Linked DNA regions of Arabidopsis thaliana. The protein of the gene in region 2 interacts with the protein of the main gene of each other region in a pairwise test. Each region holds a gene or a part of one and is shown on either strand. Other genes may lie near its edges.

Evidence for each region.
Region 1: the proteins of RAC10 (region 2) and ROPGEF4 interact in binary tests that used the Arabidopsis thaliana proteins (3 or more experiments, as listed by UniProt).
Region 3: the proteins of RAC10 (region 2) and ROPGEF1 interact in binary tests that used the Arabidopsis thaliana proteins (3 or more experiments, as listed by UniProt).

Annotation. Positions count from the first base shown.
Region 1 is NC_003071.7:18,876,950-18,887,227, forward strand, and holds ROPGEF4 (RHO guanyl-nucleotide exchange factor 4), read left to right. Parts: upstream 1-6,427; 5' UTR 6,428-6,590; coding exon 6,591-6,867; intron 6,868-6,932; coding exon 6,933-7,049; intron 7,050-7,136; coding exon 7,137-7,279; intron 7,280-7,365; coding exon 7,366-7,440; intron 7,441-7,519; coding exon 7,520-7,825; intron 7,826-7,910; coding exon 7,911-8,261; intron 8,262-8,368; coding exon 8,369-8,491; 3' UTR 8,492-8,780; downstream 8,781-10,278. Other genes in the region: AT2G45870 (Bestrophin-like protein), read left to right, coding at 17-223, 315-491; BAM7 (beta-amylase 7), read right to left, coding at 1,725-1,771, 1,851-2,070, 2,157-2,375, 2,461-2,721, 2,826-2,990, 3,109-3,303, 3,415-3,618, 3,700-3,777 and 2 more; TRM13 (Phosphatidylinositol N-acetyglucosaminlytransferase subunit P-like protein), read right to left, coding at 9,120-9,721, 9,816-9,987, 10,068-10,189, 10,276-10,278. UniProt on the Arabidopsis thaliana protein: Guanine-nucleotide exchange factor (GEF) that acts as an activator of Rop (Rho of plants) GTPases by promoting the exchange of GDP for GTP. In association with ROPGEF1, acts as a specific regulator of ARAC10/ROP11 function in ABA-mediated stomatal closure.
Region 2 is NC_003076.8:25,230,773-25,241,050, forward strand, and holds RAC10 (RAC-like 10), read left to right. Parts: upstream 1-6,190; 5' UTR 6,191-6,463; coding exon 6,464-6,568; intron 6,569-7,028; coding exon 7,029-7,116; intron 7,117-7,260; coding exon 7,261-7,370; intron 7,371-7,478; coding exon 7,479-7,542; intron 7,543-7,632; coding exon 7,633-7,697; intron 7,698-7,790; coding exon 7,791-7,856; coding exon of another isoform or gene 7,857-7,927; coding exon 7,928-8,040; intron 8,041-8,130; coding exon 8,131-8,167; 3' UTR 8,168-8,490; downstream 8,491-10,278. Other genes in the region: AtVEX1 (Nodulin MtN3 family protein), read right to left, coding at 1-73, 296-512, 583-619, 713-755; AT5G62860 (F-box associated ubiquitination effector family protein), read left to right, coding at 1,860-2,015, 2,269-2,769; AT5G62865 (uncharacterized protein), read left to right, coding at 3,292-3,795. UniProt on the Arabidopsis thaliana protein: Involved in local disassembly of cortical microtubules when associated with ICR5 and KIN13A.
Region 3 is NC_003075.7:17,980,296-17,990,573, forward strand, and holds ROPGEF1 (rho guanyl-nucleotide exchange factor 1), read left to right. Parts: upstream 1-6,088; 5' UTR 6,089-6,347; coding exon 6,348-6,615; intron 6,616-6,702; coding exon 6,703-6,819; intron 6,820-6,905; coding exon 6,906-7,426; intron 7,427-7,538; coding exon 7,539-7,892; intron 7,893-7,977; coding exon 7,978-8,364; 3' UTR 8,365-8,574; downstream 8,575-10,278. Other genes in the region: AT4G38405 (uncharacterized protein), read right to left, coding at 122-262; AT4G38410 (Dehydrin family protein), read left to right, coding at 730-921, 1,010-1,309; sks9 (SKU5 similar 9), read left to right, coding at 2,545-2,691, 2,790-2,899, 3,129-3,399, 3,488-3,593, 3,684-4,410, 4,511-4,589, 4,669-4,878; IYO (RPAP1-like, carboxy-terminal protein), read left to right, coding at 8,820-8,993, 9,182-10,022, 10,087-10,202. UniProt on the Arabidopsis thaliana protein: Guanine-nucleotide exchange factor (GEF) that acts as an activator of Rop (Rho of plants) GTPases by promoting the exchange of GDP for GTP. Acts downstream of PRK2 in the control of polarized pollen tube growth by activating ARAC11/ROP1.

The DNA.
Region 1 (10,278 bases), on a different chromosome or scaffold from region 2:
GTGTTCTCCTTCACAGGAAACAAAGATGATGCAATTACAGGAAGGAATTGGTGTATGTGAACAACTAATGGGAATTCCGATTCCACTTTCCTACACACGACTAACGTCGAGGTTCTTAGTCTTATGGCATCTAACACTCCCTGTTATTCTCTGGGATGATTGCCACTGGAATGTAGTCCCTGCTACTTTCATCAGTGCTGCCTCTCTCTTCTGCATTGAAGAAGTACCTAACTTTTTCTCGTTCATAGATTAGTCACATTTTTTTTTTCTTGCCTCATTATCACTCTTTAAGTTGGTGCTTGAAATGTCTGCAGGTGGGTGTTCTTATAGAGGAGCCATTTTCAATGCTAGCTTTAGATGAGCTATGTGCTATGGTGCTTAGTAACAGTGATGAAGCTGTTGAATCCAAAGAGGTCATACGCAATCGAATCATCGCAAAGAAAAGGATCCTTGAAATTAAGCACTCATCAAATGGTTGGCATAAATCTTGAAGTAATGGATGCCAATATACTCTGTGTGATGGCTAACTTAGGTTTTCTAATGTATGATTAATAGACTTTTGGTCATTAAGTGTATCTTCCTTAGTTCCTTGTGTCTTGTGATTGTAGATATGCAGTGTTTGCTTCTACGGCGGTGACGTTTACGTGCGTTGGTTATTTTTGAGGTTCTTATTATTAAAAATTCAACAGTAATTTTCTGACACAGAATAAACCAAAATAGCCAACAAACCATATATATTAAGATGCTTACTTCCATCGTTGAGTAATGATGATAAATTAATCTCAACTGTAGAAGTTGGTAGTATGGCTAATAAACAAAAATCAAGACAGTTTAGCCAAAGCCAAAATACAAAATCATGAACGTTTCACCGTATTTTTAGTATAGTATTTTATAAAACCTTAAAAAATAATATATAAAAAGAGAGTTGAAAACCTTTAAAATAAAAAAATAAAAAATAAATGTTAAAAATATATGAAGATGCAAAAAATATGTTGGATTTGTGGAATCGCTAATGATTATGGTTAAATGATGGGATCTAAAATCCAGTTAGCTTTCAAAACGTCGTATTAGTTTAGTTTATAAAACTTTAAAATAAAATTAATAATCAAAACAAAAACTAAGGTAAACAAAAAAAAGAATTTGAAAACCGTTTAAGAAAATAAAATAAAAAAAATAAATACTAAATATACATGAAGATGTGAAAAATATGTTGGATTTGTGGAATCGCTAATGACCACAATTAATTAGCCGGATCCTAAATCCGCTTAGATTTCACAACGTCAAATTAACCTAGTATTTGAAAAAAAACTAAAAAATATCTATAAACAAAAATTAAAGGAAAATGAAGAAACAAAAGAAAAAAACCGTTGAAAAAAGCAAACAAAATTAAAAGGCCCAATAATCCTTGAGTGAATATTGGTTGGTGGTACTGATTATTTATAAAACATATATACACAAACATCTGATTTATGCTTGTCGATGTGGGACCTTTTGGTTTTCTACGTTAGGAAGAATGCCTCGTGAGCTATGTCGGTGCTGATCTCTTTTTCTTGATGTTAGCCCAATAATAATAAAGCCCATATTATTTGAATTTTCTTTGTAAGCTTGTACAGTAGTTGCCTTAATTTTTTAATGACAAAATTTACAGAAATGATGGTAAGCTACTAAAATTAACAACATTTAACAGTAAATAATTTCAGCAGATCCAGGGACAAAACAAAACTCTAAACCTGTTGATGATGATGATGATGATGATTCATTACAGCTTCCCCTGTAACGACCAAAGAAGAAAGATCAGAAACTTCAGAGACTTCTTCAAACAGAGAAAACAAAGATTCCGATAGAATTACCATGCAACTTCTTGACAAACCGCTCAAATTCGACAATGTTATGTCCTTCCATGAGAGCTGGGACGAGTCTACTATAGGCAAATGATGACAAATGTTTTCTATCTGGATCGTTCCGAAACTTAACGCTTTCTAACATTTTGTTATAACCAACTCTATCATGGCAAGCAAGCGAGTTCTCTCGAGCAACCGGTGTACCGCTGTCCCAAGCAGCGTTTAATACCTGCAAAAAAATCACGTTTAGATTGAGGTTTTGGAGATAACTGATAAGCACAGGCTTAAGAAACTGATATGATGTGTATTCTTTACCTGCCAAGCTACTGCCTCAGGTTCTCCTAATGCTCCTGAGAAATCATCTGGACGGTTTAGAACTTGCACTTCTCCGGATACAAAACTCAGAGTGGCACCATGCTTCTTAAGTGTAGATGCAATTGCAGAATAACCATCTCGGTTGCTCGGGTTGTAGAATCCAGCGGTTAGCTCAGCGGCATGGCTTGCTGTTCTGTACCACCAGTGGACGTCTGGGAGCTGTTTAAGTCAATTGTGATGAAATTATGACAAAAGGTCTAAAATTTACAGGGTTTCAAATGCCTTAGAAAACTAAATCAATCACCTTTGCTGCAATGCAGCTACTGTCGAAGACTAGTTTAGCGAGACAGAGGATTTGGTCAGCATGGTCTATCAAAACCTGTGAGTACCATTTGAGAAAGAATCTTCCATAGAGGCCATCGTAGTCACCTCCATCACAGAAGAAACCGGTTCCCTGCGGCTGAGAATTGTAGGAGCCGGTGTTATCTGGGCCTCGAGCCCAAAACAGGTGCCCCCTTGATTCTGCTGCCTTTCTCAGGCTCTTCGAGAGATACTTGTCATAACACTGTACCGGTGCAAAGGAATGGTCATCATGTGGAAGCCAAAAAGGTAAGTTAGCTGGTGAAGCTCGAGTATCTCAAGAATTTAGATTGTTGAAAGGAAATATACCTGAAACTCTCCAACACCTGGATATCGCCACCCGTGTTTTATGGGACAAGAAGGGTACCGTAACTCTCCACAGGGGCCTAGTCCAATTTCAACCATAGATATTACACCATCCTCTAGAAACTCTGCAAGTTCTATCCGAAAACTTCTCATGTAATCAAAGTACACCTAGAAATAAATTCACCAAAAAAGTGATTCATGAGTTGGTTATTTCAAATATCTGTGATAACAAGAAGCAAATATTCATGTGTAAAGAAAAGACACAGCATGGACACAGTATCTATACCTCAAGTGCAGTTCTGCCTCTTAAAATACGTTCCTTGTCAATACCCCAAGAAAGGCATTCTGGGTTTCGTCTTCCCTCTCTATCAGTGAAATATATGTCCGGATTGGTTCGTCCTATTTCTGCCACCCAATGAGGAAGTGGGATGCAAACATCATCACCAACATTGCCTCCACATTCATGAAAGGACATTAGAACCTAGCAAGAAAGAAAGAAAGTGAGATACATATGAAGCTTGAGAACAATCATTCTAACGCAACTTCATTAAGAAAACTGTATCTTAACCAATCATGCAGGTAAAAGACTGACCTGTATCTTAAGATTAAGATCGCGGACCATCTGAAAAAGCTGCCTGTAACCAGTCCAATTATACTCCTGGGGGGAATGACCCTCAACTATTCCCCACCAACAATCCACTTTAACCCCATCAACATGGATTGATTTCAATATTCGTAAGTGCTTTAGCAGTCCATCTCGATCAGCCAATTCACACTTCATATTGATAACCCCAAGCTGTTGACAGAACAGGATATGTAGTTAGTAAGGATGAATTTCAGGATATTATTGGTAAATGCTAAGATTAAAGTGGCTTACTGGTAACATCACATAAACCGGAACATAAGGAGTGCCAGAGAAATCTTGCTCCGTCAGATTTGGAGGAATCTCGAGAATCTACCAAATACCAAAAGTGGAAGAGAGTCATCACAATTGAACCCAGATATGTGTATGCACGTAAATCAACCATGCAGTGAAAATCTGACAGGTTCTTATGAGATTTTCAGATTTTGAAAATGTTTTTCTCAAGTTGAGGAAACTATCAAATTCATTAATTTCAAATAAGCTATGTAAATGCAAAGGACTGAACTGTTACAAGATTTATTTTCTATGTACTAGTAAAGTGTCGTTACTTGTTTAGAGTTGATAACATCGACTGAACAACCAACAAGCCCCTCAGCCTTATTTACACTGCCAACCAGTTCTGGAGATTGGATTGGGAGCATATCATACGGTGATGGAGCGGGTGTGAAAACACCTTTCATACGGCAAGAGCTGAGTTCCACTGGGCTTCTAAGCCCAGATGATACCACTCTAAGAGCAGGAGGTGAGGTTTGCTGTGATGCAATGTGAGAAGCTGATGAACCTGCCGCAACCGCAGAAGAACCACCAGTAGGCTTTGTCCCCTAAAAGGTTGAGCAGATCAAGAAGATGATTTAGCTTTCACTGGTAATGGATATGTCAGGAGTTTTTCCCCAACCGAGGATCAAGGTTACTGCTAATGATTTCTGACAACTAAGAGTAGAAGAATTTTGCAGCATACAACAAAAGACATAACACAGGGACAGGGTATATAAGTACCTGAGATTTGGATGGAAAAGTAGTTCCATCAGGAAGAACAACCCATCCAGCTTCCCTTGCCAAAGCCGCGATAACATCGTTAATATCAGCTCTAACTCTCAGGTTATAATTCCCATGCCTTCGTAACCCGCCTAGTATCCTTGCAGTTATAGCCCTTCGATGGCGCTCTCTCAACTTAGTTCGCTCCTTCTCTTCAAGCGGTCTACTTCTGCGACTTCCTCCTCCCCCAGGAGTGCCCACTTGATCTTGCATTGACTGCTGAAACATAAACTCGTCATTACTACTACTGCCTGAAGCTGCGTGTTTGTCTCTATTTCGTCGGTCTCCATCATCTTCTTCCTTCACATCCATGTCCATTTCTTCGTCATCATCCTCTTCACTAGTTCCAAGCAGTTTATGCATATCCGTCGCCATTACTTCTCTTATAACCCAACCACCCAAACCTCTGTTAGTTTAAGAACGTTATTGCCCTCTTATGATGAAATGTTCCATCTTTACTTCTCTGGTTTTAACACTCCACGTGTAATCCTTCTGGACAATGCAGCCAAATATTCTATGATATTTCCTTGCTTACAGTTAGTTAGAAAATTGGAGATAATTTTAGTATCAACGAAATTAATCTTCAATCTCTCAATGTGCATAAGCTGCTCTCAGTTTAACTTCATCAAAGATCCTACAAGACAAAAATCAAACATATAAACAGCATTTTCAACTACAAACATATTTGCAGACATTAAAATGGAAAACTTTTGTGACTAACGAAACCAAACAGAGACTATTTCAAGCACAATTGAGATTAAGTACCTAACCATATATCATTGACCTCTGTGAGTAAGAGACACTAAGCACAATTCTTTCAACAATCACAAGCCTCCTCTCGAAATTGGTCAGAATTCTCGGCCCTCTGGGCGAATCATCGAGCAATACTAAAAAACCCTATAAATGGAGCTTCCGATCAAAGGTTTCCCCCTCTGTCGCCGTCAGCGAAACCAAGAGAGAGGAGAAGAAGACGGTGGATCTCCGGCGGGTGAAAAGAGGCGGATCTGGCCGTGAGATGGAGGAAGCGCGTGAAGGAGCGTGCAGCGTGAATTGGAAGACGAGCTTTCGCGCGTGTGTAGCGCTCGAGCGTGTCTGAGAGAAAGAGGAGTGTGTGAAGCTAAGGCTTGGCACGAACTATGCGTGTGTGCGTAAACCAATTGAAGAGTAGAGACGGGCTCATTAAACGTGTGAAGGGAAGCACGTGCCACCACCACCATCACGAGATTACGATGCACTCTGCGGCGCACAAGGCAAGGCAGGGAGATAGTCACGTGACTTGCCTGACCAGACACAGTTCGCATGATGTGATGTCTAATTATGGTCGTTTGAAAACAGTGTTCACAAACTGCGTGCCGTTTTACTCTTGTAGACGTGGACTTCATCCCGGTTTTAAAACCAAAGTAAAGTCTTAGACATTGACCATGGCTTCATTGGCTTGAACCTTCTTCCTTGTCTCGAGGGTTTACGTTGAATGTCAACTAAAAGTTGACCAAAAACATTCGTTACAAAACAAACTCAAATGTCATTAAAAGATGTTGTAAATCCGATTTAATTTTGATGACAATTACAAATTTGAGATTATTATTATTAAAATGATCTAAAAATATTTAATGTCTACAAAAAAAAATTAGTAAATGACATTTATACGATGTGATTCTAATTGTTATGTCTACATTAATAATTTGTAACTAAAAACATGTGAACCGAAAATAATAATTCCAATAGTAACATTACTCTCTGAAAATTGCAATAACATGGTGTAAATGTCATTTAGAATTTAATTAGAAATGAATGGGACAACCTTTACTTATTAATTATACACCTAACGCATATATAGCAACTAACGTTCATTATGAGATTTGATTAGCCAAATGTGGAAGGCACGTCTCTCCCCCACAATCAGATCGGACGGCCATCATTCGTCGGAGACAATCATAACTTAATTTTTAGTCATTAAATAATAACTCAAGCTGAAGAGGAAGAGACTCCATGTATTAATCTTTGTCACGTTCATCAGAGCCAGAGGAGCCAACAACGAAAGAGAAGAACTTGAAACTCACCAAAAACATTGATCATTATACACAATCGTGATGGAGAGTTCTTCGAATTCCGACCAAAATGAGGGAACTCCGACGAGCTCTGTTTCTTCGCCGTACCGGAGAACATACTCAGATATCTCCGGATTATCTCACCGGTTCGACGTTCAGAGCTTTTATAACCGGCCGTCAAACACTAACGCTGTTGTCTTGAGTGGCCATGAAGAAGATGTCTCCGAAGACGCCGAGGAACCAAAAGATGATGTCGTCAACGACGTCCACGGAGATGGAGACGAAGAAGACAGCGACATTGATTCTGCAGAAGATGCAGGTAAAGTGTTTAAGATTGTAACTTTCTTCTTTTGTCATTTCGTTAAATCGGGGTTTCTAGTGCAGAGCTAGAGATGATGAGGGAAAGATTTGCGAAGCTGTTGCTTGGTGAAGACATGTCAGGAAGTGGGAAAGGAGTTTGTACTGCTGTTACTGTGTCAAACTCCATAACCAATCTCTATGGTTTGTCTTCTTCTTCTCTTTTCAAATATGCTCTGTTTTCAAAACAGAGTATTTATAGTGTAGCGTGTGTTTGTTGTGTTATTGCAGCGACTGTGTTTGGACAGAGTTTAAGGTTACAACCATTGAGTACAGAGAAGAAAGACTTATGGAAACGAGAGATGAATTGTTTCATGTCTATTTGTGATTACATTGTCGAAGTTATTCCAAGATCTCTTGGTACTAACGTTGAGGTAAAATACTATTTCAACACTATCTTAATTTTGACACACACAATTTAAAACGCTAAAAAACCGGTGCGTTGATGTTTTAATTTCAGATAACAGAAACAAAGCTAAGATCTGATATTCTCATGAGTCTTCCTGCTTTGAGAAAACTCGATAACATGCTAATGGTAAGTATAAGACTCGAATTAGACTGATAGATAATCAAGATTCAAAAGATTTCCAACACGACTTGTTTGACTTTTGTAGGAAATATTGGATAGTTTTACGGAAAACGAGTTCTGGTATGTTGAAAGAGGAAGCTCATCGATGAACTCGGGTGGTGGTGGTAGAGATTCAGGAACGTTTAGGAAAGTGGTGGTTCAACGGAAAGACGAGAAATGGTGGCTTCCGGTGCCATGTGTTCCTGCTGAAGGTTTATCTGAAGAAGAACGAAAGCATTTGCGTCACAAACGCGATTGTGCCAGTCAGATACATAAAGCAGCATTGGCCATTAACGATTCCACTCTTAATGACATGGATATTCCTGATTCTTACCTCACCACTCTTCCAAAGGTATAAAAGGATAACTTGCGACTTCCATATAAATGTAATGTGAAAGTTTTGAAATCAACTCGGTGTTGTTTGATTTTATGTACAGAGTGGGAAAGCAAGTGTAGGAGACGTGATTTACAAGCAACTGTGCACAGCCGAGAAGTTTTATCCCGACCAGCTTCTCGACATCTTGAAGATCACATCTGAGCATGAGGCGCTTGAGCTCGCCGACAAAGTTGAGGCTTCACTAGTTACGTGGAGGCGTAAGACTGGAGGATTGACTCACTCTAAGTCCTCATGGGACATGATGAAAGATATCAGTGGCGATGCAGATCGTGGCAATGACAAGAACCACATACTTGCGGCTCGAGCCAGGAGCTTACTCTTCTGTCTGAAACAGAGATACCCTGAACTTTCTCAGACCTCACTTGACATCTGCAAGATTCAGTTTAACCGAGTGAGTAGCCCCAGCCATTTTGCATATTGTTTTAATTAAGATATCGATGGAAAATATCGAAATTATATGCTGAATATTCTTGTGTGTTGTTTTATTTTTTTGGTTAGGATGTGGGAAAGGCGGTATTGGAGAGCTATTCAAGGGTTTTAGAAGGTTTGGCTTATAATGTTGTGTCGTGGATTGATGATGTTCTTTACGTCGACAGAACAGTGAGAAACAGAGATGATTAGGGTTTTTCATACTGAGTTTTTTCTTTTGAGAACAGATTAAGTTCTTTGGGATGTAATGAGAATACCAAACAAATGTGTATGTTTTTTTCTTATGATTTTCTGAATCTTTAAAAGGAATTCTGAACCAATAATACCAAATGAGGGTGAACAAGAATTTCAACCACACACAGTTGATAGAAGATCTTTAATTTCAGATGTTCTTTAATCATCACTAGTGGCCCTAATTTGCCAAAGAGCTTAATCTGTCAATTTTTTTTTGTCTTGGATTGTTTCTTGACTGAAACACAATGAAGCAATAGAGATGGTCTTCTTGTTTAAGTTCAAGCCTTGTTTTATTAATCCTCATATAACAACAACATACAACTAACAGAACTCAAAACTTTACAGAAGCCAAATGGAAAAGAAAACATAATAAGGACTGAAAGAAACAAGACAAAGAGTTTCTTTTGCAGTCGTTGGGGTATTAAAAGCTGTGGTTGTGTGTATCTGCACAAAAACTGAAAACTAGAGCTTGTCCATTGAAGTGGACGTGAACCTGTACAGAGTAAACAGAGGAGCCTCTTGATGACCATGAGTGTCTTTCTCGAACAAAAGTTTACTTTCTGGTAGTGATCTGGAGCAGTGGGATTTAAGGAACCAGCTTGTTGATTCTTTCAGGTTGGACCAAGTCTCTGCAATTGCTGATTATCTCTTCTAGTAGTTCATCAAGGATTATTTCACCTGTTTCAGAAACGATGCAACCAATATCAAAGCGGAGATCCATCCAGTTTCCAGTCCTAGCCAGGTCTTTCCGCACTATCTGGTCTAGTGTGTGAGGAGATGGCAAAGGTAAGAGATGCCAGTAAACTTCTTCTTGTACCACTTCAACAGCATTTTCCATGTCTGGAAAAAAGTGCATTGCAGGTTTGACGAATGAAATCCAAGGGCCATGTCCACAAAACTCCATAAGAACTTCATTGATACAGTCAAAAAGGAGTTTCTTATCGCTGCAGAGATTTGTCGAACAGAAATCTATGTCATCCATTAGAGCCTGCTCAAGAATCTTCTCCGAATAAAAAGATCTCGCCAAAAGCTCTTCCCAGTTCAACTCTGATGATTTCACCACGGCTTGAATGTATTCAAGTGCCAGTTCCTTGTCGTCCATTCTTGTTTTGACATCATTGTCTTTCTCCGGTCCTGGAAAATCAGGTTCGTCGAATCTTATGCACAGTGGTTGCATCCGCATTTCGGCTATATGAGGCAATGAAGAAGGTCAGAGACTAAGATTTGAACAAAAGTTTTACTAGAATGCTGAAATGGTGTTGCAAATTCTTTCTAGGCACACCTGAAGAGAACCTGGAGCTGTTTGGACTAGTGTCATCATCTGTAAAGAAAGGCTCAAGCACAGATACAGGACTTGACTTTCCCAATACATCTGTGGTGTTTTCTTGGCATTCAGACATTCTCACTGAAGAGTTTGGTGGAGAACACGGTGATTGTCCCTCTTTGAGTACTTCCTGAAAACATGATAAAGCAGGAAATATGAGCCTTCCTTCAAGAAATATGTATCATCAACAAAAGAAAGGATTCATCAAACCTTTTCCAAAAGTTGTTTGTGCTCATCCTCATCAATATATGCATCTTGTTGGATAATGGAAGAGCTAATTGCTTCAGACAACGAATCCATAACAGTCTGCTCTTCCTCTTCCATCCTAGTGTCTGACATACAAAATCAAAAGCAATTAGTTTCATTTTGACAAAGCTGAGAAAGAATCAGATCAAACGAAAAGAAGAAAATTAATCACCTT
Region 2 (10,278 bases):
AAAAATACATTGTGCAGAAGATCACCACCGCCATGAATATTACCTCGATAACCATAGCTATTGTGATCTTTCTCTGTACACATATATATATATCATAACTTCACATATCAAAATCTATATCGATCTACATTTGAAGTAACAAACTAAAACAAACATCAACCACTAATTCACTAATTTTCAATTGGTTTAAAGGCTATCAAACCTATGTCTGAAAAGTTTATATAAATTGAATAATTTAGAATGCATATACATATTTTTATCATTCGTGTTGAAATTAGAGGTTTTAAAGGCTTACGCGGACAGGGGAGGTAGCGAAGACAAAGAAGATGGTGACGTAAACGAGTTCCATGAAAAGACCAGTTCCATTAATGGTGATGACGAGGAGACTGTCGGGCTGGACGAAAGGAAGTCCGTAAAATGTCCACATCATGCAGTTTAAAACCGTAGCTACGTATGGATCTGGCTTAAACTCGGAGACCGATTTCATCTTCCATATCTTCACCATCGTTGGTCTGCACAATTTTCACATATGTCATTGCATGCAACAAAACAAAAAAAGATTTAATCATCATGTGTGCTTACATTGGAGCGCAGAACAAGCCGAAAGAAATCACGTTTCCTAAACATATAACAGACAAACAAAGACATGAGCAAATGTTTTTGTTGTTGATTGAATTAAACTTTATGTTTGAGTAAATTGTGGAGGACTTACCAACGATTCCGACGATCGTCCGGGCGGTGTGGGGGTCCGTCATTTTTCTTTGTTTCTAAAGAAGAATTCTTTATCTTCTACAGATTTTATCAAAGAACTAATTTATATTTTATAAAAATAAAAGAAGAAGAGAAACAAAATATGTTGATGATTTCGATTCTTCTTTTCGATGATTCTTGTTTATAATTTTTTTCTTTAGTACTGCGTTTCTTTTTTGTTTGTTTCTGATTTGTGATGTGAGTTTTGTTTGTTTGATGAAATAGCTTTTTTTTTTTTGGTGTGGTTTCTAGGTTCTGTTTTTGGTTTTTTGATATTTGGATTATTTTTGGTTTCTGCTTTATGAACAGAGAAAAAAGAAAAAGTGGATTTTAATAGTGAGTCTGTGAATCAGCAGAATCTGGGTAGAGTAACAAACGCATGACACGTGGTTTCAAATTTGAGCCATGAAGCCGTTGACTCCGCTCGTACCCCATGCATGAGAAACACCCGGCTCTTCACTCACATTAATACCTCTGTCTCTCTCTCTCTCTCTCTTTCTCTTTCTCAAACATAATTACATTTACTATTACTACATCTTCATTATGTATAAAGAGTTTGTTGTCTCATATTCATGTCATAGTAAATGTTGTGTAGAGCATCTTGTATAGTATATACAATAATACAAAGCAAGTGAATATGTGCTGTAACCAAAAACTTTGTTAATAGCAACTTGTATTGATGAATAAAGAGAAGAGATTTTAGTTTTACTCTCTTTTTAGGTTTACTATGTAAACACTTTGCTATATATGAATCACTTAATATTCCTTTCTCATCAAGCTACGAAACTGCAAACGAATTGAATCAAGATGAAGAGAAACAGAACACACAAGCCTCAGGTTTCAGTGTGAGGCGCATCAATCGAAAATACTAAATTAATCTCTCATTGTTTCTTAATGTTTTCCCTTTAAATGTAGGTCGGTTAAGACTTGAGATCTAAAACCTAATGGGACATGAAACTGGGCTGCTTAGCTTATAAACTCTTTTGTATTGCCAATATATAGAAAATATCCAAAAAAACAAATGTCATAAACCCCCAAAAAATGTCAAAAACCAAAAATATATATGTGTTTTTCTTCGTTCAAGTTTAATGAAATAGAAAACTGACACCATGAAGAGAGGACGCCAAGAGAAGAAGACCTCACGATCTCCAAAACGACGACAACAACGTCAGAACGAAATCTCCGAGAGAGAAAATTCAAACGGTATACATATCCCTTTCGATGTAATAACCGATATACTCTCGAGACTCCCTGTTAAGTCACTTGTGAGGTTCCAATGTGTATCGAAGCTGTGGTCATCTCGTATCACCCTCTTGATCATGACTCGGTCATTATTCTCGCCCTCTACTTATCCTACTAATGATATATCATTCATATACCCAGACAAAGACAGTAATTATACATTAAACCATGGGCGAAGTTGGGATTTTAAGTATCAATAATTTTCGAGGACTCTTCTGTTGTTGGTCAAGCTCGATCTATAAACATACCAATAGGAAAACGATTTTATTACCGGAGGTAAAACACGATAGATGGAGCAACTCGTGTGATGGATTGTTCGGATATGATCCAGTTGAGAAACAAGTTTTCACATTAGTGGGAGGTCCAATGAAGCAGCAATGGAGGAGCCTTGACATCCAAGGCATTTGGAATCACTCTCCAGAAGCTAGGAGTAGTGGTTTATGTATCAAAGAGTTTATCTATTACATAGCACATGTAGAAAGCTGGGATGATCCCGAATTCTATGAGCTAGTGAGGTTCGACGTTAGACACGAAAGCTTTGATCGTATTCAGATGCCCATAACTCTGCAGATGAATCAGCAGCTCAGTGAAGTGAGTTTCGATGAATTGACTTTGGTAAACTACCAAGGAAAATTAGGATGCATACGTTACACCAAAGCTAGTGCAGAGATGTGGATTATGGAAGATCATATTGAGCAACAAGAATGGTCTAAGATGATGATATTTGAGAAATTAGGTATTGCATCGCTGGTGTCAGTCCTAATGGTGAGATTGTGATAATGCCAAAGACAGTGACATCTGCTCAATCTTTGTACCCCTCGTACTATGATCCGAAATGTTAGTTTGTTGTACCCGCCGGATCACATTTGTTCAACTCGTTCCCTTAGTGAATAGTAGTTTTTATAATAAATATCAATTTTGTTTTATCAAGTGTATTCCTAAAAACATTGTTAGGAAAGTAACTATCTTATAACGGATTCTAGCTCAAGATATTTATTTTTTCTAAGACTCGTTTTCACCAGCCTAAGAAATTGTTTAACACTTTTTATGATTCTCAATCGTGTTGATCGATAATTGAGTTTCTAAGGTTTTAATATTTACAGCCATGATTCGTAAAAGTGTCAAGTGTGCATATAATAACATAGAAAAAATAACAATTTCTTAATTTATATTACAAGTGTCAAGTGTGCATATAATAAATAGGACCAATCATAATCCTTTACAGCTAAAACTTGAATCAAGTTATATTATCATCACGAGTCTTTTGACCCAAGAAAAAACTTCTCTGAGTTTCGGCCCATGGAACTTTCGCAGTCGGACCCAACCCGAGATCCTGATACCCGGTACGATCAACGTTGCTGTTGTTTCCCCAGCTTCCGCCGATCAAGAAGCTCCACCGCCGTTGGTTACTCCTCCTGGGGACGAATTCGAACCGTCGATGACAGTAATCACAGCGGCGACCACGGCGACGAGCCACGTTGGTGGATCCGAGCATCCTTGAAGATCCGAGAGTGGTCAGAAATCGTTGCTGGTCCACGGTGGAAGACTTTCATTCGTCGATTCAATCGCGATCCACGACGCGGCCGCGATTGGGACGCAAGCGAGAAGTTTCAATACGATCCTTTGAGTTACTCTTTGAACTTCGATGACGACGACGAGGAGGATGAATACGTCGGACTAGGTGGATTACGAAGCTTCTCGACCCGATTCGCTTCTGTCCCGGTTTACTCAGGTAAAGCTCCGGCGATTTCGCCGACGTCGTTGTCTGCGTTGACGCCGCGTAATGAGATCATTGAAAGTTAGTGGGCGCGTGTGAGAAACGCGTTTGCGTTTCTGGCGGCGGGGAAAAGGCTGTCAAAATGGTTGACTGGTTTGGTTTACATCGTTTTTGGAGTCTGTCGCGTTTTCTTATTTAATCATTCTGTTTATATAATCAACTTTGAATTAATTTTATTATTTTCCCAGTTTAATTAATTTATTTATCAACCAAATTTTATGTTTCTTGAAAGAGAAGCAATATTTTGTTTCTTTTTTGAGGGGATATTGAACTTGTTGTGGCTAATATAATATAATTTTATGTAAATTAGCTGTTTAGCATATGTGGAAGTAATGATTTAGTTAATCATGGTTGCTTGACATGATTTCTTTATTTTTATAATCTATACTCATTTTTAAAATTCCACTCAAAAACTTTTCTGTTTTCCAAAGATATAGTTACCGTTAAAGCCGAGTAAAGAGAAGAAACTATCAATCGTTTGGGGTAGTATGTAATGAACCAACAACACTTTTCCCAATTCAAACTTCAAACCTTTCTATTGGAAGCCATAAACGAATGACGATCATTGATCAAAACATTCAAATACATTTTTTCGTTTCTCTCAATTTATTAAGGAACTACATAACGATTTACATGTTCTAGAGAGAAAACTGTACCGAAGAATCGATTCACCTTCAGATTCATAAGAATGGTTCAAAATTCATAAGACCAAAAGAAACAGCAAATTAAAGAAAACAATAAAAGAAGGGACCGATAGGAACAAAGAGGGAGAAAACACGTGACCTGGCAAGGGACTTCCATTACGTGGGTCGGCTCGTTTCGGATGTGGCCCATATATTGAGTTGTCGGGCCCGTTGCATTTGTTTGTTGAGTTCATATGATATATTCGAAAAAACTTTTACTTTTTCAATATTAACCCAACTTCAAATCCAATAACCATATTTCTTACTGCCAAAACTCGGATTTGTGATCTTCAAGTCTTTTTCACTTTATGGATAATTTCCACTGTTAATCACGTTTTGCTTTTACGCGCATCAACTGTTGTGGAAATATATATTTATCGTTTGTTCTTGTTTCTTTTCAATGACGCTATCCTTACACCAGCACGACATATGCTCCTGTTACATGTCTTCCTTAGAGACCAAAAGTTATGGATTCACTTGTACACACATACACATATATTGATTTAGTTTAATGTGATTACTAGTCTCCTTTTGCGATTTTCGTTCTTACTAGTCTCTATATTTATCTGGTTTAGGCCATACTTTTGTCATTGTATTGTATTATTAATCAGCTACTTTAATTTGTACTTGTATTTTGGAGCTTTTGGTGGAAATAACTTGCAAAATACTAAAATATTGGACCAGAGAGCGATAAGTTCCCGTGGTCGTCCTTTTGAAGACCTCTCTAGTTAACAATACTTTTGCATTTTCATATTTATGGTGGTTGCGTCGCCGTCGATATAGTCGTAGGTATTACTCCAATAATTAACTTACCTTATAAAATAAAATCATTTATCTTCTGCTTTTGGTAGATGTTCACACAGTTTGGCTCCAACATCCACCTATAAATGATTATTTAAACACATGACAAAAACACTTTTACTTTCTAAACCATGAGTCTGCAATTATATCCATAAACAAACAAAAAGGAACTATTTGGTAAGAGTATTCAATTTTTAATAACTGTATTAAAAGTTGCTTTGTGAATATTGAGAATTTTTATTGCTGGTTGTTGCCAACGAAACTCTTGTTGGCAATTTTAAATATCTTGAGTAAATTAAATTAGATGATAAGTTTTTTTAAAAGTAGGTCCACATAAAAAAATCCATATATCCTAATATAATAAATGAATATCCTAAACTAAAATTACAATTTTAGAATTATCAGTTTTACACTTGTGAATTGTGATATAAGTAATGTTGAAAGGTTGGTCTTAGTGATTTTGCTATAAATTTTTGTTGCTATGATATTCTATTATTTTATATATTTTGTAACCCTAGCTTGTAAGTTATGCTATATACATTATATGATATGTAAGTCTCGAGAGAAAAACAAAAATAGCAAAACATGTATTCGACAGTACATGTTAATGTATACAAATATGGTATATCCATCTTCACTTGTCACTGTGTGGCTCAACGTGACACTATTATTAACTTGACGAATATCTACCTTCTCTTATAATTCGATTCGTAACGCCATACTTGTATGTAATACACATTATTTCATTTTCTTACAATCCAATACAAGTGTAATAAACACTTAAAAAAAAAAAAACAAGATTGAACCACCAAGATTTGGTTAACAAATTCCAATGCAAATTTGCTCGTTGGAGTAATAAATGAACTACAAGAATTTGGAAAAGGAAAGCTTGGACGATGGATCATGTGAGTCATCACCGCTCTTTCTCTATCTTCAAGTTCAAACCAAAAACAAGCCACCAAATACCAATAAACAATTTCGTTTATCTAATTGGAAATATTGAAAAAACAAACAGAAAAAAGTAAAAAAGGAACAGAAAAAAAAGCCATAAATTTATGCAACAAACCCTACCTTCTTCTATGCTCTAAAGAGGGTTTATTTATCTTTTACTCCTCTTTTTAAGTAATCTCACTTCATTTATCTCTCTCTCTCTCTCTATTTCTTTTGCTTCCTTTTGGTATTTGCTTTGTATGTTTGTTTTGAGATCAAAATGGCTTCAAGTGCTTCAAAGTTCATCAAGTGTGTGACTGTTGGTGATGGTGCTGTTGGTAAAACCTGTATGCTCATCTGCTACACCAGCAATAAATTCCCCACTGTAAGTTCTCTTTAAAAAGACCTCTCTTTCTCTCTTGAATTTTGATCAGGAATCTCATCTGGATTTATCAGATTTAGCTCAAATTTTACAAAATTTTAATCAATTTCAGTATCTGGGTCTACTAAATTTCAGCTTCTTATTGCCATAAAGGTTCTTAGAATCTATCTGGGTATGTCAAAGTTAGCTCCTTTTTCCTAGGAACTGTGCATGATATAAGATCCATTTTTGGAGATTTTGATTTTTTTTACTTTTCATAAGTATGTGTGGCGCATCTGGGTTTTTGCAGCTTTTGTGTATAGTCCAGCTTTATGTTATCTTTTTTCATTTAACATCCTCTGGAGTCTGGATTCGTCAGACTTTTTCTTCATTGCTATTATTATTATTATTATATGTATATATGCTTGATTTGATGATTGAAAGTTTGAAACTGTGTATTGATTTGATGAATTGTTTGTAACAGGACTACATACCAACAGTTTTTGACAACTTTAGTGCAAATGTTGTTGTTGAAGGCACCACTGTCAATTTGGGGCTTTGGGACACTGCTGGTATGAACACTCTTTCTGAGTCTTGAATCCTATAGTGGTTTATAACATTCTTATTGGTCTAGTTCTTTCATTTGGTTGATAAATGAGATCCATTGAATAGCTTTGTCTCATATGAGGTTACATATGTATATCCTTTGTTTGCAGGGCAAGAAGACTATAACAGATTAAGGCCTTTAAGTTACAGGGGAGCAGATGTTTTCGTCTTGTCTTTCTCATTAGTCAGCCGAGCTAGCTACGAGAATGTTTTTAAAAAGGTCTGATTGAATAAATGATCCTTTTCTCTAATTGTTGAAAACGATAAGACTCTTATAGTGTCAGAATGAGTCATTTCTAATGTTATATGACTGTTCTTATTGAGTCAGTGGATCCCTGAACTCCAACACTTTGCTCCAGGAGTTCCCCTTGTCCTTGTTGGTACCAAATTAGGTAAGAATAACCGATGAGCATTTACCAACAGATTCCTCTTAACCGTTTAGTTACAATTCATAGCTAATGATTCTTACAACACTGGTGTAGATCTTCGTGAAGATAAGCATTATTTGGCTGATCATCCTGGACTATCCCCTGTAACTACTGCACAGGTTTAGTCTTAAAGAGCCTTTTTACTTTAGATTTCATATAATTCCACTATAAGGCTTGATGGTATTAACTAAATGAACATTTCTATCTGATAGGGAGAGGAGTTGCGTAAGCTAATTGGTGCGACGTATTACATTGAGTGTAGTTCAAAAACTCAACAGGTATATGAGGCAGCTTCTTTATGTTACTCTTTTCTTCGGATTAACAAAGCGATGAAGTTTATATATTGCAGAATGTGAAAGCAGTTTTTGATTCTGCGATAAAGGAAGTGATCAAACCTCTGGTTAAACAAAAGGAGAAGACTAAGAAGAAGAAGAAGCAAAAGTCGAATCACGGCTGTTTATCGTGAGTATATATACAAATCTTTACAAACTCTGCATCTACAATCTTATGAAGGGTACTGATTTCACCTTTGTGTTTATTTTGTATGTGCAGAAATGTTCTGTGTGGGAGGATAGTGACTCGGCATTGATGACGATGACCCAACTCAGTCTGATGATTTTAAACTCCACTTTTGAGATTGTGTGATAAACGAGAGACTTTATATTATATAGATTGAATCATGTAAGAGATTATTAGCCTCTAATCAATCAATAGTTACCTTGAAGAGAGAAAGAGGGGGAGGTAGAGAGCTTATTATTAATTCAATTGTGTTTATTTGTTTCAAACCTGTTATTGCAATATATTAGCCATTTTGATACAACAGAGAAGCTCTCTCTTCCTTCGCTTAACCCTGTGAAGACAAGCAGTTATTGTCCTACATTAGCAATCAAGTAATTTTATTTTGTTTGTTAATGTTGATCTCTTGTCGTTACATTGTCCAGTGTCAGTCAAATCACTGTCCTCAAAGTACAACTGACCAAACTTTGTCTCTCTTGACATAGACATTAAAACTTTCTACATAAGAGTCTCATATTTCAGTAGTCGCAGGCTAATTCCAGTCGGTTCCAATGACACATTGTCTTCAAGATTTTGAGACAGCAGTTCCAAAGGTTTTTTTATCTTCCACCTGACCAAAAAAAGGAGATTAAGCCATAAAAAGATGGAAGCGACGAACTCAGTCGAAGACTTTCCGATGAGACTCGAGTACACGAGAAACGACCACTGGACTCACCAGACCAGTCCCAAAGGCAAATAAATAACGGAGTAAAAAAAAAAAAAAAAACGCCGAGTTTCATCTAAACATAATAGAACAAATGTCAATGGGTCCGAGAGAGCCTGTAAGAGCATAAATGGGCTTTAATCGGGCCAAATTAAATGTAACTCTTTCTGTTGTTGTTTTTCCGGTGTACCTCTCTCTGTTTTTTTTTTAGCTCTTTTTGGAAAAAGCAACTTTTTCTTGATTTCTTTTTGACGTGAAAGCAGGCTTTTCTGTTAGGCAGATAAAAGCATATTTTTATTACTTAAGACCATTTCCTTCGTAAAAGAAAGCAAAAGAAATATATAAACCGGACAAGGTTAAAAGATATGCGACACTTACACATCAAGTCATAAATTAGAAACAACAAGAACATGATTACTTATTTATTTGAGTTGGTGAGATCGGAGTTACAACACACAAGTTTCTATTGGGTATGGGGAAGAGAGAATGACAGGAAGAGCAGGGAGAGGGCTCGTTAATCTAAACCAACCATGACCCAAGTAGCCAACCTTTTTTTTTCCTCTTCAAAATTTCACATTCTTTATTCGAGATTATACTACTTATAAAGTATAATAACTAGCTCATTCAAACAAAACAAAAAGTGCTGTAAGGATAACACTATCAACGCGTGTTAAGAAAAGTAACACTTTTGAACTTCTTTTTACCATTGACAAATTTTAATAGTTACAACCATGTCATTGCTTTATTTAACAATTTTAAAAAGGAAATCTAAAATGTACATAAACCTTTAGCTAATTTACAAATATATCATATTCTTAATGCATCTACAACAACCATATTATGAACTCTAAATACTAGGATTTGTAACCGGATTCGGTTTATTTGGACTACAAAGAGTAAAAATGGACTTTGTCCATCTCATCTAGCCAATGTTTTATAAGATTCTATATTGGGTGCATCATGCATGTGTCTCTCTTGCTCACACCCTACATCTACCCATCGTTTCAGCCACAATTATGTATATATTTTTTTGTCTTCAACATTTTAGCTCATATGCACCAAATTTTCATGAAAATGTTTGTTTATCAATCATATTCATCATGTGTTGTTAGCCATTAATTTCGATGAGATTGCAAATCTTGAAAAAAAAAATGGAATTATGTGGGGGAAAAAGTAAAGAATGGCACATGAAGAGAGTTTTGCGTAATTCCCAAAAGTAAAGCCAGAAAGATTTTTCTCCCACCCCATGTGCTTACTCTCCCCAGTCCCCACTTTTTCTTAATTAAATTCATATTTCTTCCATTTTTATTTTTCGGCTTTTAATTTCTTAGCATACTTTTAAAAAAAAAATATTGTCACACTTTTTAGGCCGATTTTGACTGAGTTACACAGGTCAATAATGCTCCCAATTCGGCGGACTATAGTTATTTTAGTGGACATTTGTGTTAACTAATTTTGTGGCAAAAAGAAACTCGGAACAA
Region 3 (10,278 bases), on a different chromosome or scaffold from region 2:
ATCTTCATACTTCTCCCTCTCTTGTTTAAGACCCTATATCAACTGCTGATTTCTTTCAAGTTCTAATGATGGATAACAGATTTAGAGAAACACCCATGTCTTGTTGGGTTTAGGCTCATGACTAGAACAGGAAGAGTAAACCTTTGGTTCCTCTTCTTTTTTTAGTGGTGGGGCTGTAAAGAAGTCCAATGACGTGAGCAGCATTAACCAAAACCATCAAGTTTAACCCAATACTGGCCCTTTTATGTTTATGTAAGCCCATCTTCTGATTCGGCCCAATCAAGACACTTCAGTTAGCAGTAAGATTTTCAAACTTATTTTTCTAATAATGTCTAAACAATTTAAACAGTGCTTTTGCTCTCTTTATTGGATAACGTGGACCGTCCACACCGACAATCCATTGGTCGACGAAACGCAGAGTATTCGGACATGTACTATGTTTTTTATTACACTTTCCGAAAAAAACAAACCTTGTTCCGATCAAAGTCGGTCCTTAAAATATTGACTTGTTAGTACAATTTGCCGGCAACACCTTGGCTAAACGCGAACCGAGTGTTAATTACTATAAATTAACTGTAACTAAAATAAACAAACTAAAAGCTAGAGCTACTATAAATACAGTGTCGCAGGGGTTTGTGTAACTCATCAGTCCTCACAGCTAGCAAAGGAAAGTCTCGTTGGTAAATTAAAAGTGAGTCTTGAATACCTTGTTTGCGTTTTTCCTAAAAGATGGCGGATCATCCTCGTTCTACTGAGCAGCAAGAAGCTGATGCTGCAGCTTCCAAAGGCTGTGGGATGTTTGACTTTCTCAAGAAGAAACCCGAAGATGTACATTCTTCCGAGAATGCCCGTGTAACCAAGGAGCCCAAGGAAGAGGAGAAGCCTTCTCTCGCTGAAAGATTCCACCTTTCTGACAGCTCTGTAAGCTTAATTGTATACTCTTGTTCTTATGCATGAGAAATGTTAATAACACTTGTTGATGGAGGATGTGATATATATGTATATGCAGTCAAGTGATGAGGAAGCGGGTGAAAATGGGGAAAAGAAGGAGAAGAAGAAGAAGAAGAAGAAGAATGAAGTTGCTGAAGATCAATGTGAAACAGAGGAGAAGATTCCTGCGGGTATAGGCCATGAGGATGGGAAGGAGAAAGGGTTTATGGAGAAGATAAAGGATAAGCTTCCCGGAGGTCACAATGGAAAGCCTGAAGCTGAACCTCATAATGACAAGGCCAAGGAGAAAGGGTTTATGGAAAAGATCAAAGAGAAGCTTCCTGGTCATACCAATGATGAGAAGAAGAAGGAAACCTAGTTATAAGAAGACCCTTTTTTTTTTTACTTTCGCTTTTACCACTTGCGTTTTCATCTTCTTGTATTGTTGTCCACCTCGTTATGTGTCAGTGAAATGCCAACTTTTCGAATTGAACAACTCTTGAATCTTAAATAACTCATACTATTATAACATTGAAATCCTCAAGTATTTAAAACCTGTTGTTTTCATCTGTTAGTGAAAAAAACCTATGTATGTATGAAACGTTAAAACCCTAAATTTTACCACAAAAAAAAAACGTTAAAACCCTAAAACCGGCATCCAATAACCCATTAAACATATAAGAAGAAACCCATGCTTTCTGAGCAAGAAACGGTTCTGCTTAGTTAGGTTTGGGCTGACTAAAAAGGGCCCAAAAGGCCCATTTGAAATCACGGAAAATAGGAAAAAGTTCAAGGGGAAGGAGCAGCCAGAGACACGGAGAGTCTGTGTATGAAAGTGAAGGGAAAAGGAGATCGACGTCTCCTCTCAGACTCTCACGGGAAGAAGACAGTCTGTGACTTTTTGTGTTTCCAGCTGTTTTCATATCATTTCTCAATTCTCACTCGTATACCTGACAATTTGGGTTACCAAGTTGACCGTTGAAATTTGTGTTTATATAATAAGAATTTTGTGGACTATTACTAATTTACTAGTATTATTTTATACTTCCAGCATATATACATACATACATTGCTTCTTCATATTCTCTACGCGTTCAATCAATATTTCTCGTGTAGGCTGGCTATTTGTGCCAAAATACAACTCAAATTGTTTCACCCCAAAAAAAAAAAAGCAGATACAATAAAATAAAATTTATATAATTATATGTTAATTCTCATTTGTGTAAAATATTGAAGCAGCTTAAAATAAAATAAACCTCACAGTAAAAATGAAATAAAATACCTTGCAATTAAATGAGAATGCTTATTTTTAACAAAATAAAAAATAAATAAAAATCAATGCATCACCGGATTGGGATTTTATTTTCTTTCAAAAAAATAAAATAACAATCCCCAACCCAAAGGACAAAATAATGGGTATTTAATTAGTAGGTGGGGTGGCCTTATAATATATTACAGGTTGAAATAAAAACACGGAATTAGCTGATTGGAAAAGCTTCCCCCTCCCCATTGGACTTTAAATACGACACCAGAGTCATTTGTTCCGTTACTACAAAACAGAGTTGAAGCTTTCTCTTCCAACTTTATCTTCTTCTTCTTCTTGTCAAAGCGAGTATGTGCTGGTGGCTAAATGGGGCCGTTTGGACGATGATGATGATGACGATATCCATCATTTCTTTTGTTCAAGCTGATGATCCCTACCGTTTTTTCGACTGGAGAGTCACTTACGGCAACATTTCTCCACTTGGCATTCCTCAAAGGGTATTTTTTTTTTTTTCCAACATCCACAAAAATGGCGGGATGCTTTCTGTTTTTGTTTGCTCGATCATGCATGCTTTATATTCTATTCATACACGCAGGGAATCCTGATAAACGGACAATATCCAGGACCCGATATTTACTCAGTCACCAATGACAATTTGATCATCAATGTTCACAACGATCTCGACGAGCCCTTTCTCTTATCTTGGTACCATTTATCTAGCTCCCCTTCTCTACCATTTTCTTTCATTCATTAGTTATATTAGAGGAAATAGATATTGGAGTTTGGTAAATGGCATGATGGAGCCAATTTGCATGCACTAGTGTTGTTTCTTCACATTCTTGTTAGAGATTATATTGGTGGCGAGACGTCAAGTTTTCATGTTAATATAATATCAATGAATTAATATAATACAAAATGGTAAATACTAATGAAGGAACGGAGTGCAACTGAGGAAGAATTCTTACCAAGATGGAGTGTATGGGACGACTTGTCCAATCCCACCGGGTAAAAACTACACTTATGCCATCCAAGTCAAAGACCAGATCGGTAGTTTCTTCTATTTCCCTTCCCTCGCCGTTCACAAAGCTGCCGGTGGTTTTGGCGGTTTCCGTATCCTCAGCCGCCCTCGCATCCCCGTCCCTTTCCCTGAACCCGCTGGAGATTTCACCTTCCTCATTGGTGATTGGTTTAAGCATGACCACAAGGTATTTCTTTCTTGAATTAACAAATTATGTTCGTTTTAGTATTTGTCATTGTTATACAAGGACCATAATTAAATGTAACATTATTCAGGTTTTGAAGGCAATTTTGGATAGAGGACACAAGCTACCTTTGCCTCAAGGGGTTTTGATCAATGGCCAAGGAGTCAGTTACATGTCTTCCATCACCGTCCACAAAGGTTCATCCTAAAAACACTCAAATACTTTGATTACGAAGAAAAGCATTATATTATCTCATCATTTATTTTTTGTTGTGGAACAATTATCAGGTAAAACATACAGATTTAGGATATCGAATGTAGGGCTTCAACACACTCTGAATTTCAGAATCCAAGGTCATCAGATGAAGCTCGTTGAGGTAGAGGGAACACACACAGTCCAGTCCATGTATACCTCTCTCGACATTCACGTTGGACAGTCTTACTCGGTCTTGGTCACCATGGACCAGCCTGACCAAGACTATGACATTGTCGTCTCCACAAAATTTGTCGCCAAAAAACTCTTGGTCTCATCTACTATCCACTACTCCAACTCAAGACATAGCCACTCATCTTCTGCTAATTCAGTCCATGTTCAACAACCTGCCGATGAACTAGATTGGTCTATCAAACAAGCCCGGTCCATTAGGACCAATCTAACCGCGTCTGGGCCAAGGCCTAACCCTCAGGGTTCGTACCACTATGGTCGAATCAAGATTTCTAGGACTTTGATATTGGAAAGCTCAGCGGCACTAGTGAAGAGGAAGCAACGCTACGCCATAAACGGAGTGTCGTTTGTACCTGGAGATACTCCGCTAAAGCTTGCGGATTACTTCAAGATCAAAGGCGTTTTCAAAATGGGAAGCATACCTGACAAGCCGAGAAGAGGAAGAGGGATGAGAATGGAGACGTCAGTGATGGGAGCACACCATAGAGACTTCCTTGAAATCATATTTCAAAACCGCGAGAAGATCGTCCAAAGCTACCACCTCGATGGATATAGTTTTTGGGTTGTTGGGTGAGAATAATTAAAGATTAGCTATATCTATCGTCCTCTATATATAGTAGCTAGTAATAATGCATTGCATGCATCTGATGTTTGTGAGTACTGTCCACAGGACGGATAGAGGAACATGGTCAAAAGCAAGCAGACGAGAGTATAATCTTAGGGATGCTATTTCTCGCTCCACCACTCAGGTACAAATAGTTTCTAACTCCATATATCTTACCAAAAATTTTAAAAAATCATCTCAAAACTAGTATTTGGTTGTTGTAGGTATATCCAGAATCTTGGACAGCCGTATATGTGGCACTGGACAATGTGGGGATGTGGAATCTAAGGAGTGAATATTGGGCGAGGCAATACTTGGGTCAACAATTCTACCTTCGAGTTTATTCTCCAACACACTCTCTTAGAGATGAATATCTTTTGCCTAAGAATGCTTTGTTGTGTGGCCGAGCCTCCAATAAACACACCACTCCTTAATGACTCTACTCAGACCAATCGTCAATGGCTGATTTAGGGATATGTATTTTATTATATTGAGTTCTTTATTCTTTATAATTTCAATAGCTAGATATATGTTGCACAATTATTATATATACTTCAAAAATTGTAATGTATACCCAAATTTGATGAAAATTTTACTGTTTTGTAACGGTTATTGCTAAGTTTGAAGTTAATTTTTGTAGGCAAATGCAATGTTTTCATATGAATCAACCAAGTAACTCTACCATATCACCAAGCAAAATAGTATAGTTTGAAGAGAGAGAGTAAATTAAAAAAAAAAAAAAACCATACATAACATATTAGAAACATTAATTTCGAATAAACAGACTTTAACGATGAAATAAAAATTTAAATTATTATCCACCGGTAGATGTAGAATGTTTATTGGTATAGAAAGTTGTTCTATTTGGTCAAAGTTTTTGTTGACCTTGCAATTACAAATTACAAGGCTGTCAATCGAATGAAAAACATGGCAATGGAAAAGATTTGCTAATAATGCCAAGACAAACAAACGTTTATTTGGAAGGTTAAAAGCCTTTTAGAGAAGAAAAAAAAAGAGCAGAGAGTCAACTAATTAAGCCATGCATGTGAATCAACACCAATCCATAGCATATTCTAGTGATCAGTGACATTAATATTGTAGATTACTATATTAACCCGAATTCAAAGGGCATTAAATAGGTACTTTAATGAATTGAATTAAGAAGAGTAATATAATCAACGGCTTAGATTCGTTGCGTGAAAAAACCATAACCGAAAACAGCGGAATCCACGAAATAAGTAAGCCAAACGCAATCTAGACCGTACGATGTGAATACTTTAATGACGCCAGAATACTATGGACAGTGTAGATCAGGCGAATGGGCGTAATACACGTGGCGTAAAATCACGAGGATAGATATGGTGCAACGTAGTTCAGGCCGGTGTGGTACGAGAGAGTCTGATGATCCGACAAGGAATACTTCTAGTCCACACAATGTCAGCCTTTCTTTATTTTCTCGGTCGCTTCGAGATTCTCAATTCTGCTCTGTAGAAAAGATCCTGATGGTTCACTTTTAATATCCAACGGTTGATATAACACAAGCGCATGCTCCTCTTATGAGAACGGCCGTGGGATATAATTTAATCTCGCCGTTAAAAAATGTGACGACCGTGAGTTAACGGTTTATCTGTTACCAACCTCATACCTGTCCCTAACGGCAGAGGATAACGCCGTGAGTATGGATGGATGGGAGAGAAAAGAAGAGAGAGAGTGTGAGTGAGGAAATGAAAGGAGTCTTTTTTATTTGTTATCTCTCATCTCTCTCTCTCTTTCTCTCTGAGCTTTGCTTTTTATCAAACAAGCATCATCATCACATCCACTTCCTTCTTCTTCCTTTCTCTGTCTGTCTCTTAACCCAAATGTGGACTCTTTGAGCCGTTATTAGATCTCTGCCGCTTCAATAATGGGGAGCTTATCTTCTGAGGAAGACGACGAAGTCTCTTCCGAGAGATGCGGAAGTTACAGTCCCAGCGCCGACATTAGCGAGTCCGAGAGTTCCAGCAGCTTCTCCTGCCACCGCTTCGACGGCGAGGGTGCCTCTAGCTCCATCCCTTCTTCCCCTCGAGTTGTCGCTGGTAGAGGATTTTACTTCCCGGCCCCAGTCATGCTTCCGGTGATCGGCGGCAAAGATGTGGTCTGGGATGACAAACAACCAGACAACGATTTATCCGGTATAAAAGTTTCCAAATTTGACCTCTTTTGTAAACATTGATGAACACTAGGATTCAATTTCCCTTTTGTTTCCTATTGGGTTTCAGAAATTGAGATGATGAAGGAGAGATTTGCTAAGCTACTTCTCGGGGAAGACATGTCTGGTGGAGGTAAAGGGGTTTGTACGGCGCTTGCTATCTCCAACGCCATCACCAATCTCTCTGGTACCATCTCAATCTTCTTCCCTTTTTGTTAGTTGGTATATATAGTAGGGGTTTCTAGTTTTTTAATAAGGCTAGTGTCCACACAGCGACTGTGTTTGGCGAACTATGGAGGCTTGAGCCTCTTGCTCCTCAGAAGAAGGCCATGTGGCGCAGAGAACTTGAGTGGCTGCTCTGTGTTAGCGATTCTATCGTTGAGCTCATTCCTTCCATTCAGCAGTTCCCTGGAGGCGGAACTTATGAGATCATGGAGACCCGTCCACGTTCTGATCTCTATGCCAATCTCCCTGCTCTCAAGAAGCTCGATGCTATGTTGATCGATATGCTTGACGCTTTCTCCGATACTGAGTTCTGGTACACTGATCGCGGCATAGTTCTTGGTGATTGTGACAAGGATTCTTACAATTCTCCAGCTTCCGTTAGGCAGGAGGACAAGTGGTGGCTGCCTTGCCCTAAGGTTCCGCCTAACGGTTTGTCAGAAGAGGCCAGGAAGAAACTGCAGCAGTGTCGGGACTTTGCTAACCAGATTCTCAAGGCTGCATTGGCAATTAACAGTGGCGTGCTTGCCGAAATGGAGATTCCCGACCCTTACTTGGAGACTTTGCCCAAGGTATGCGCCTTCTCGAGCTCAAGGATTAGCTTTTTCATTGCTGCTGGAGCATAAATTCTTTTACCGTTATATGTGATTAGCTCATTGAGTTATGATTTTAAACTTAATGCAGAGCGGGAAGGAATGTCTTGGAGAGATCATCTACCAGTACTTAACTGCAAACAAGTTCTCTCCCGAATGCCTCCTGGACTGTCTTGATCTCTCATCGGAACATCAGACTCTTGAAATCGCCAACCGGATTGAGGCGGCTGTGCATGTTTGGAGACAAAAGAATGGGAGGAGGCACAAGAAGCAGGCGAAACTAAAGCTGTCTTCTTGGGGTGGCAAGGTTAAAGGCCTTGTTAATGACAACGAAAGAAATGATTTCCTTGTGCAGAGAGCCGAGACCCTCTTGCAGAGTCTCAGGATCCGTTTCCCGGGACTTCCCCAGACAACGCTGGACATGAACAAGATTCAGTACAACAAGGTACATTATAGTTTGGAGTGTGCTTTGCTGGTTGCATCATGAAACGATGCTTAGATAATTTAAGAGTTTGTGTGTGTTCTTGCAGGATGTAGGGCAATCAATTCTGGAGAGTTACTCTAGGGTGATGGAGAGCATGGCCTTCAACATCACGGCCAGAATAGATGATGTGCTTTATGTTGATGATGCCATGAGAAGATCCATCTCTGTCACAGAATCGCTATCCCTATTCAGCATCAATGGACTCAACCCTCAAAAAGCGTTCTCTGTGCAGAGCTCTCCGCACGGTTCACCATTTGCAACGCCTGCCCTAAGTGTAGCATCAAGAAGCCCGAGGAGAGCACCGCCGCTGTATTCAGTGAAGAGGAATGGGACGAGAGAGAAGGGAATAGTGGGAGAAACAGAGAAAGCATGGTCGTATGCAGGGAATCTGAGTTCAAGAAGAGTAACGGGAGTGACGCCGGAAAGAGATTAAGATTGAAAATAGAAGAATGTAAATCAATGGTTGTAGAGACTGTAGTTGTTTCTTGTTTGTCTGACTACGAAGACGAATGTGGTAATAGCAACAAGAATGTTATCTTATGTGGAGTTTTGAAATGTTGTTAACAAATCAATTCCTTAGCTCATTTACCAAGTTTACAAAGATTATGGTCCAAGTCCTAAAACTGAATGAACATCACATACCCGTCTCTTGAGTGATTTAATCATGTTCTTCATTGCACTAAAGCGACAACTTTTGGTTCAAATATAGACTATGACTATATGGTTTGTTTTGCACAGGATTAAAGTTGATGTTCCAATTTTATAATTAAAAAGTCAGAAAGGGGTTTTCTTGTTATTTTTTACTTGTTCTTATAAGCTATCGGGACGACACGGAGTTTTAAAGAGTTTTCCGTTTTGCTGAGCGGAGGCGAGAGAGGGTTTAGAGTGATGGAGCAAAGTAGCGGGAGAGTCAATCCGGAACAGCCGAACAACGTCTTGGCGAGCCTTGTCGGGAGCATCGTGGAGAAAGGAATATCGGAGAATAAGCCTCCAAGCAAGCCGCTTCCCCCAAGGCCCTCCCTTCTTTCCTTCCCCGTCGCTCGTCATCGTTCTCACGGACCCGTAAGCCAATCCAATCCTCTAGTGCGTGCTTTTTAGGTTTCCATCTTCCTTTTGTTGCCTTCTTCTAGATTTTAAGCACCTTCTACTGTTGTTTAGTACTTGGGACTCCACAATTTTTCACCGTGCCTGACCTTGTAATTCAGCTTTCTGAGACATCTAATTTTTGTTTCTCATGTTTGATTTTGTAGCATTTGGCTCCTGTGGGAAGCAGCATAGCACAACCTAAGGATTACAATGACGATCAGGAAGAAGAAGAAGCAGAAGAACGTTTCATGAATGCAGACTCCATTGCTGCTTTTGCTAAACCGCTTCAAAGAAAAGAGAAGAAAGACATGGACCTCGGGAGGTGGAAAGATATGGTCTCTGGGGATGATCCTGCATCCACACATGTCCCTCAGCAATCAAGGAAACTTAAGATCATTGAAACGAGACCGCCCTATGTTGCTTCAGCCGATGCGGCCACTACATCCAGCAACACTTTACTGGCTGCCAGGGCATCAGACCAGAGAGAGTTTGTTTCTGATAAAGCACCGTTTATTAAAAATTTGGGAACCAAGGAAAGGGTTCCTTTAAACGCTTCTCCTCCCCTAGCTGTTTCGAATGGACTTGGGACTCGACACGCGTCTTCGTCTCTTGAAAGTGATATTGATGTTGAGAACCATGCAAAGTTGCAGACAATGTCACCCGACGAGATTGCTGAGGCTCAGGCTGAGTTATTGGACAAGATGGATCCTGCACTACTCTCCATTTTGAAGAAACGAGGTGAGGCAAAATTGAAGAAGCGAAAGCATTCTGTGCAGGGGGTTTCCATCACCGATGAAACAGCAAAGAATTCAAGAACTGAGGGTCATTTTGTCACTCCTAAAGTGATGGCAATACCGAAAGAAAAAAGTGTGGTGCAAAAGCCAGGGATAGCCCAAGGATTCGTGTGGGATGCATGGACTGAGAGGGTTGAGGCAGCCAGAGACTTGAGATTTTCTTTTGACGGGAATGTTGTTGAGGAAGATGTTGTCTCGCCAGCTGAAACTGGTGAGTAGAACAATACAACTGAAACACATGACAATCTTAGGTTGCTTACACTTTGACTGTACAGGTGGAAAGTGGTCTGGTGTTGAATCTGCTGCCGAACGTGATTTCTTGAGAACCGAGGGGGATCCTGGGGCCGCAGGTTACACTATCAAAGAAGCTATTGCTCTTGCACGAAGTGTGGTATGTATGATTGCCACATATTTTAATTTTGATGCTAATTAATGGTTAAATTCTTTTTTCCCTCCATTTTGGCTTT